Linked DNA regions of Rattus norvegicus. The protein of the gene in region 1 purifies or fractionates together with the protein of each later gene. This does not show direct contact. Links are inferred from orthologs where the notes say so. Each region holds a gene or a part of one and is shown in the gene's direction. Other genes may lie near its edges.

Region 1 (4,409 bases):
GCCACAAAGGTTCCAACAAGAGAGTGGAAGGAAACTTAGACGGGGCTTTGTTTGACTCCGTGTAGCGACAACAAGAGAAACAAAACTACCTATTTGTAACGGACGTGGTGCTGTGGCTCTGGGCTTTTTGAGCGCCTGCCGATTGAAATCTTTACGTCTGGACAATGGGAGATCGGCTAAAATTACCCTCTCGGGTCCTGGGCGGGCAAGATTCTTGAGCCCCTACCTCCGCCCCCAGCCCATTCTCCCACAGCCTGGGCTTGCTCGGTCCCGGCTCCTCGGGTTCGGCCGGCCTTCCCTCTGCGCACGCCGCCTGCACCTGCACCTCTGGACCCCGCGCGTTTCCCAGGCCCCGGCGCCTCTCGGCCGGGCCTTCGCGACTACCACTGTGCCAATCAGCAGGGGCAATGCGGGCTGCGCTGCCCCATCCTGGGAACGCTGCGTGGGAGGGAGTTTGTGAGCGCAGCCTAAATGCCACCTCCGTGCCTCGCGGTGGGATGCCAGGAAGTTGCGTGACCCTCCCCCATCCTCTGCCCTCTGGAGCTTCTTTCTGTTGATTCTTTCGTCCCCTAGCTCTCATCTGAAATTGCCATCACTGAAATCCTCTTGTGTCGGGGTTGGGGGTTAGAAAGAGAGGGAGGAGTGAGTTCAAGCTTTGCGTTTGCACCCTTTAGATGGGACAGATTGGTGGAGGAGGGAGTTAGGGTTCAGGACACGTGCTGTGGTTCCTTGAGCCACACCTGAGTCGGCCTAGAAGAAGGCTGTGTACAGGGCCTGGCCCTAGCTCTACAGTCAGCCATATGGGCAGAGGACTCCTGTTTGGGAACCCAGCCGATGACGCGGAAGCCAGGAGGGCGCTGAGGCCTGGGTCTAACTTCTGGTCTGTTCTGTGAGAAAAGGGGGTGAGTGGGTGTTGGCAACAAGGTTGGAAGAGGGGCTGGGACAGAGAGCAGTGCCGCGGATGAGCGGAGGAACAATGGCACACCACCTCCGGCCCTGCCAGCTTCCTGAAATACTAGTTGGACGGTCGCCCCGAACCACCCATGGGCCTCGCCCCACCCTGGCCCCAGCTTTCCGCGCCCCATCCACCCTTATGTACCCAAGAGAGAGCCAATATTCCGTAGCATGGGGGAAAGGAGCTGTCGTCTTGGTGCTGTTTACCCACTTCCTTCGAACAGGCGTGCCGCCGTGACCTGTTGCTGAGAACGGGGGGGATACAAAGGTTCCCCCGCGGCGGGCTGCAGGCTGCGGGCCCGCCTCCCCCGCGCGGTTCGGGGCACAGCGCTCCGCTGCGCTCGGCTCGGCGGCGCGGCAGGCCCCGCCCCCTTTCATGCAAAACCCTCTGGCGAGGCTGGGCTCCGGCGCAGGAGCCGGCGCTCGCTGATTGGCCGCCGGAAACCCATTTATTCCCTGACAGCCCCCATCACATGGATGGTTGTCTATTAACTTGTTCAAAAAAGTATCAGGAGTTGTCAAGGCAGAGAAGAGAGTGTTTGCAAAAAGGGAAAAGTACTTTGCTGCCTCTTTAAGACTAGGGCTGGGAGAAAGAAGAGGAGAGAAAAAGAAAGGAGAGAAGTTTGGAGCCCGAGGCTTAAGCCTTTCCAAAAACTAATCACAACAATCGCGGCGGCCCGAGGAGGAGAGCGACTGTTTTTTCATCCCAATTGCACTTCGCCCGTCTCGAGCTCCGCTTCCCCCCAACTATTCTCCGCCAGATCTCCGCGCAAGGCCGTGCACGCCGACGACCCCGCCCGCGGCCCCTGCATCCCGGCCCCCGCGCGCGGCCCCCGCAGTCCCGGCCGGGCCGAGGGTCGGCGGCCGCCGGCGGGCCGCGCCCGCGCCCAGCGCCCGCATGTATAACATGATGGAGACGGAGCTGAAGCCGCCGGGCCCTCAGCAAGCTTCGGGGGGCGGCGGCGGAGGAGGCAACGCCACGGCGGCGGCGACCGGCGGCAACCAGAAGAACAGCCCGGACCGCGTCAAGAGGCCCATGAATGCCTTCATGGTGTGGTCCCGGGGGCAGCGGCGTAAGATGGCCCAGGAGAACCCCAAGATGCACAACTCGGAGATCAGCAAGCGCCTGGGCGCCGAGTGGAAACTTTTGTCGGAGACCGAGAAGCGGCCGTTCATCGACGAGGCCAAGCGGCTGCGCGCTCTGCACATGAAGGAGCACCCGGATTATAAATACCGGCCGCGGCGGAAAACCAAGACGCTCATGAAGAAGGATAAGTACACGCTTCCCGGAGGCTTGCTGGCCCCCGGCGGGAACAGCATGGCGAGCGGGGTTGGGGTGGGCGCCGGCCTGGGTGCGGGCGTGAACCAGCGCATGGACAGCTACGCGCACATGAACGGCTGGAGCAACGGCAGCTACAGCATGATGCAGGAGCAGCTGGGCTACCCGCAGCACCCGGGCCTCAACGCTCACGGCGCGGCACAGATGCAGCCGATGCACCGCTACGACGTCAGCGCCCTGCAGTACAACTCCATGACCAGCTCGCAGACCTACATGAACGGCTCGCCCACCTACAGCATGTCCTACTCGCAGCAGGGCACCCCCGGTATGGCGCTGGGCTCCATGGGCTCTGTGGTCAAGTCCGAGGCCAGTTCCAGCCCCCCCGTGGTTACCTCTTCCTCCCACTCCAGGGCGCCCTGCCAGGCCGGGGACCTCCGGGACATGATCAGCATGTACCTCCCCGGCGCCGAGGTGCCGGAGCCCGCTGCGCCCAGTAGACTGCACATGGCCCAGCACTACCAGAGCGGCCCGGTGCCCGGCACGGCCATTAACGGCACACTGCCCCTGTCGCACATGTGAGGGCCGGACCGCGAACTGGAGAAGGGGAGAGATTTTTCAAAAAGATACAAGGGAATTGGGAGGGGTGCAAAAGAGGAGAGTAAGAAAAATCTGAATGCTCAAAAGGAAAAAAAAAATCTCATTACCCGCAGCAAAATGACAGCTGCGGAAAAAAACCACCAATCCCATCCAAATTAACGCAAAAACCGTGATGCCGACTAGAAAACTTTTATGAGAGATCTTGGGACTTCTTTTTGGGGGACTATTTTTGTACAGAGAAAACCTGAGGGCGGCGGGGAGGGCGGGGGAATTGGACCATGTATAGATCTGGAGGAAAAAAACTACGCAAAACTTTTTTTTAAAGTTCTAGTGGTACGTTAGGCGCTTCGCAGGGAGTTCTCAAAAGTCTTTACCAGTAATATTTAGAACTAGACTCCGGGCGATGAAAAAAGTTTTAATATTTGCAAGCAACTTTTGTACAGTATTTATCGAGATAAACATGGCAATCAAATGTCCATTGTTTATAAGCTGAGAATTTGCCAATATTTTTCGAGGAAAGGGTTCTTGCTGGGTTTTGATTCTGCAGCTTAAATTAAGGACCGTTACAGACAAGGAAGGAATTTATTCGGATTTGAACGTTTTAGTTTTAAAATTGTACAAAAGGAAAACATGAGAGCAAGTACTGGCAAGACCATTTTCGTGGTCTTGTTTAGGGCAAACGTTCTAGATTGTACTAAATTTTTAACTTACTGTTAAAGGCAAAAAAAAAATGTCCATGCAGGTTGATATCGTTGGTAATTTATAATAGCTTTTGTTCAATCCCACCCTTTTCATTTTGTTCACATAAAAATATGGAAATTACTGTGTTTGAAATATTTTCTTATGGTTTGTAATATTTCTGTAAATTGTGATATTTTAAGGTTTTTTCCCCCTTTTATTTTCCGTAGTTGTATTTTAAAAGATTCGGCTGTTATTGGAACCAGGCTGCCGAGAATCCATGTATATATTTGAACTAATACCATCCTTATAACAGTTACGTTTCCAACTTAAGTTTTTACTCCATTATGCACAGTTTGAGATAAATAAATTTTTGAAATATGGACACTGAAATTATGCCTGAGTCTTTCATTTCTTTGGCTAGCATGCTTGTACATAACTTCTTGGGGGATTGGATAACTGTTCAGCCACCAAGATCTTGGTGTTACCAGCAATGTCTGTTAGCATTAACTGCAGAAGAAAAAAAAATGGCTGGATGATTAAAAACGGGAAACTGAAATGCGCTGACATTTCTAGAATAGAAACTAGAAGCATATATTGTAAGTCCACCCCCTCCTTTCCTGAGCAGCGTGAATAAGCGCGATGTGGGCTTAAGCTCTCTTGTAGCACTTGTTGCCAGAACGAGACGATTCTGAAATTTTTCGTGTAGCTTAGTAGATGGGGTACTGAGCCAAATCAGAACCAGGTTGGCTGGGTTGGTTTTCATTTTCTTCACAACACAATGGCCCTTTGAAATGTGGTTTATAGGGGAAAATGATGCTTCTTGTATCGGAATAATTACAAAGTAGACACGCCGAGTGTACTGCCGGGTAGGTGGTTGGGTGACTCTCGCCCTGCTATT
Region 2 (3,648 bases), on another chromosome or scaffold:
CAAGTCTTTCTTCAAAGAACTGACAGTGTAATTCGACATCAAAGAATTTTGACTTGAGACTTCATCTAGCCTTTCAAGGCTACTCTTTTTGGGAGTGGTATTTTGAGATGGGGTTTCATCTCACTGGGTAGCTCGTGCTGTTCTAAAACAAAATTGTAGACTAGGCTGGCCTATATATCAGAGATCTGCTTGTGTCTGTATCCAGGAGTGCTGGGATCAAAGATGTGTGCTACCATCTCCAGTGTCAGACCTGGTGGGCCTTGTGAGTCTTAGGAGGAGGAGCAGGGGTTGGGGATTTAGCTCAGTGGTAGAGTGCTTGCCTAGCAAGCACAAAGCCCTGGGTTTGGTCCCCAGCTCCGGAAAAAAAAAAAAAAAAAAGAAAGAGTAGGAGGAGGAGCAGATGTTACAGGTGCTCTTTGCTGTCTTTAATTCCCAGGACATGATGGATGATATCTGCCAGGAGCAGTTTCTAGAATTGTCCTACTTGAATGGAGTTCCTGAACCCTCTCGTGGTCGTGGGGTGTCTGTGAGAGGACGAGGAGCTGCCCCTCCTCCTCCACCTGTTCCCAGGTAAAAATAGTTAAAAAGAAAATCTGACTAACCCCAGGAGGAGTCAGAGGGTTTATATAGTACATCAGGTATGGAATCTTAGCAGTCGGGTATTGCAGTCCTACTGAAACTTCAGGGTTTTTAATTTTGGATAGTCCTAGCATTTAAAAAAAAAAAATCCATATATCCATCCATCCATTTGTGAGCTTGGTGGTGGTGGTGGGTGTGAGGGTGTAAGTGTATTAGTGTGGATGTGTTAGTTAAAGGACAGTGTGTTAGGAATCCTATATTTTGGTCTTGGGGATTGAACTCAATGTCAGTCTTAATCAGCTGGTGTGTTTACCCACTAGGCCGTCTCATTCATCCCCAGTTGCCTTTTTTTTTTTTTTAAAGAATATTAATCACTATGTGGCCCTGGAACCTGTTAGATAGACCAGGCCCATCTGAAACTCAAAAAGAGATCCACTTTTGTCTCCCAAGTGCTGTGATGAAAGTCATGAGCCATCATGCCTGACTATATATGATTCCAGAATTTTACCTTTCGTGGTTAATATTTATGTAATATTCAGACAGTCGAGACTTGCCTGAGGTGCTATGATCGTGATTGAGCCCAGAGAATCTTGAAGTCTAGTTCCCTATATGTATGCTATTCTGTGCTTTAACGTCTGTTTTAGGGTTAGAGAAGGGCCACAGTTGGTAGAGGGTTTGCTTAGCATGCATAAATCTCTGGGTTTGATCCTAGCACTGTGCAAACTCCAGGGGATGATGACACACAGTTATAATCCCAACACTTAGGAAGTGAAGGCTGAAGTACAAGGCTGTCCTCAGTTACATGCTGAATTCAAGACCAGACTGGGTTATGTGAAACCCTGTCAGAAAAGGGAAGGAAAAGTAAAAACCAAAGGACAAGCAAGGGATACAGGCTCTGACTTACCAAGTGTGGCAGCAGAGCCTTCCTTTAAGAAATTAAAATTAGGACCTAGAGAGTCATTAAGATCACTGGCTCCTCTTCCAGAGATCTCAGTTTAATTCCCAGCTCCCACATGGTGGTTCACAGTCATCTATAATTCAGGTTCCAGAGGACCCAGCACACTCTTGTTGACACCTTCTTCTGGCCTTTGTGGGCACAAAGCGTACCATGTGTGCATGCAAGATATCCATACACATTGGATGACAATTATAAAATAATAACTATGTGTGCGTATATACTGGAAAAAATTAAAGTTAAGCGGCAGTGGTGGTAAATGCCTTTAATCCTAGCCCTAAGAAGACAGAGGCAGGAAGATCTTTGTTGGTCTACAGAGTGAGTTCCACACAGAAATGTCTTGGGGGTCATGTGGGGGGTGGGGGGGTGTTAAGGTTAGCTCAGTGTGGTAACACACAACTTTAGTCCTAATACCTAGTAGAGACAGTAGCAGGTGGAGTTCCAGAGCTACATAGGAGGACTTGTCTTAAATGAGTAAGTAATCGAAATGTAAAAATCATCCTACTTCTAGAATTTATGAACAGTTCTTAATATGAATGTGGCCTAATTATTAAAATCTCAAATTAATGTAAATTTTCTATTTGTAGAGGACGTGGTGTTGGGCCACCTAGAGGGGCTTTGGTTCGTGGAACCCCAGTAAGAGGCTCCATCACCAGAGGTGCCACTGTGACTCGAGGGGTGCCACCCCCACCTACTGTGAGGGGTGCTCCAACACCGAGAGCTCGGACAGCTGGTATTCAGAGAATACCTTTGCCTCCAACACCTGCACCAGAAACATACGAAGATTATGTAAGAATGTTTTGAACAATGTATTGTTTCTTCCATACCTAGGTTGCCAGATAAGTAATAAGGGTCTTACCCTTGTGTGTAGATAGAAGACAGTTCTTTAAGATTTGGAATCTGTGTTCTTGTTCAGTTGAATTTTGAAGTATGAGACGATTTTTCTTCTATTTTAGGCATTATTACTTTGTCTGTATAAGTTAAATAAGTAAGTTGTGGTTTAACATACAGAATTTTACTAAGATTGTAATACTAAAACCTTTTGAGTTTTGTCTTTCTGTTCTGCAGTTGGTATTAGTATTTTTGAGGATTTTCCGTAGCCTGTTCATTCAAATGCCCATGATCCCCTATGGGCTGTGATTCTCTTTATGCAGTTCTGACCTTCTACTTTATCGTTCCAGGGATATGATGATTCATATGCAGAACAGAGCTACGAAGGCTATGAAGGCTATTACAGCCAGAGTCAAGGGTGAGTGAGTCAGGCAAGAAGTCATGTCTGCGCAGTGTCTGTAGAGATGGATGGTGGGTAGAGTTGGAGAGACTAAAGATTTGGGCAAACACTACCCTAAGGAATAGTGTAATCTAATGTTTTAAAGGTATTTCCTCCACTTTTGATGACTTGATGGCATATTTGTGGCTCTGAGAATTTGGATAACTGAATTTTATGCTAATTTAGGCTCTTAAACTAATTGATGAACATTTCCTGAGCTATATAGAATGGAAGAGAAAAATACCATTAAATAATTGTTTGTTAAGAAGCTTCACTCAGGGGCTGGAGAGATGGCTCAGTGGTTAAGAACACTGACTGTTCTTCCAGAGGTTCTAAGTTCAATTCCCAGCAACCACATGGTGGCTCACGACCATCTGTAATGAGATCTGAGAGCAACAATGTACTAATAAATTCAAAACGAAACAAAACAAACAAAAAAAAGAAACGTCACTCAGGGGTTGGGGATTTAGCTCAGTGGTAGAGCGCTTGCCTAGCAAGCACAAGACCCTGGGTTTGGTCCTCAGCTCCGGAAAACAAACAAACAAAAAATGTCACTCGGGTTTGGAAGAAAGAAGTATGCAGTTGGTAGAGTGCTGTCCTGCATGTCATCTTAGCATGGGATCAAGAGTTCAAGAACAGCTTGGGATACAGGAGGCTTTGTTTCATGAAAAACAAATCAAGTCACTTTAGCCCATCCACACTGGAGATGCCTATGATTCTAAGAACAAGCTAGAAGCTTAACCTGGGTTGTTGTTGTTGTTTGTTTGGTTTCTCTTAAAATACAGCTTTGATTTTTCATGTATATATATGTCTTACCTATGATTGCTTGGAAAAGAATCTCAGA

The links.
Region 2: the proteins of Sox2 (region 1) and Khdrbs1 purify together in Homo sapiens (affinity purification with mass spectrometry; 3 studies listed by BioGRID and IntAct, with this or other methods). This does not show direct contact. The link is inferred for Rattus norvegicus from reciprocal best matches to the Homo sapiens genes SOX2 and KHDRBS1.

What each region holds. Positions count from the first base shown.
Region 1 is NC_086020.1:119,463,642-119,468,050, forward strand, and holds Sox2 (transcription factor SOX-2), read left to right. Parts: upstream 1-1,489; 5' UTR 1,490-1,852; coding exon 1,853-2,812; 3' UTR 2,813-3,901; downstream 3,902-4,409. UniProt on the Homo sapiens protein: Transcription factor that forms a trimeric complex with OCT4 on DNA and controls the expression of a number of genes involved in embryonic development such as YES1, FGF4, UTF1 and ZFP206. Binds to the proximal enhancer region of NANOG.
Region 2 is NC_086023.1:147,352,811-147,356,458, reverse strand, and holds part of Khdrbs1 (KH domain-containing, RNA-binding, signal transduction-associated protein 1), read left to right. Parts: intron 1-436; coding exon 437-570; intron 571-2,121; coding exon 2,122-2,323; intron 2,324-2,715; coding exon 2,716-2,783; intron 2,784-3,648. UniProt on the Homo sapiens protein: Recruited and tyrosine phosphorylated by several receptor systems, for example the T-cell, leptin and insulin receptors. Once phosphorylated, functions as an adapter protein in signal transduction cascades by binding to SH2 and SH3 domain-containing proteins.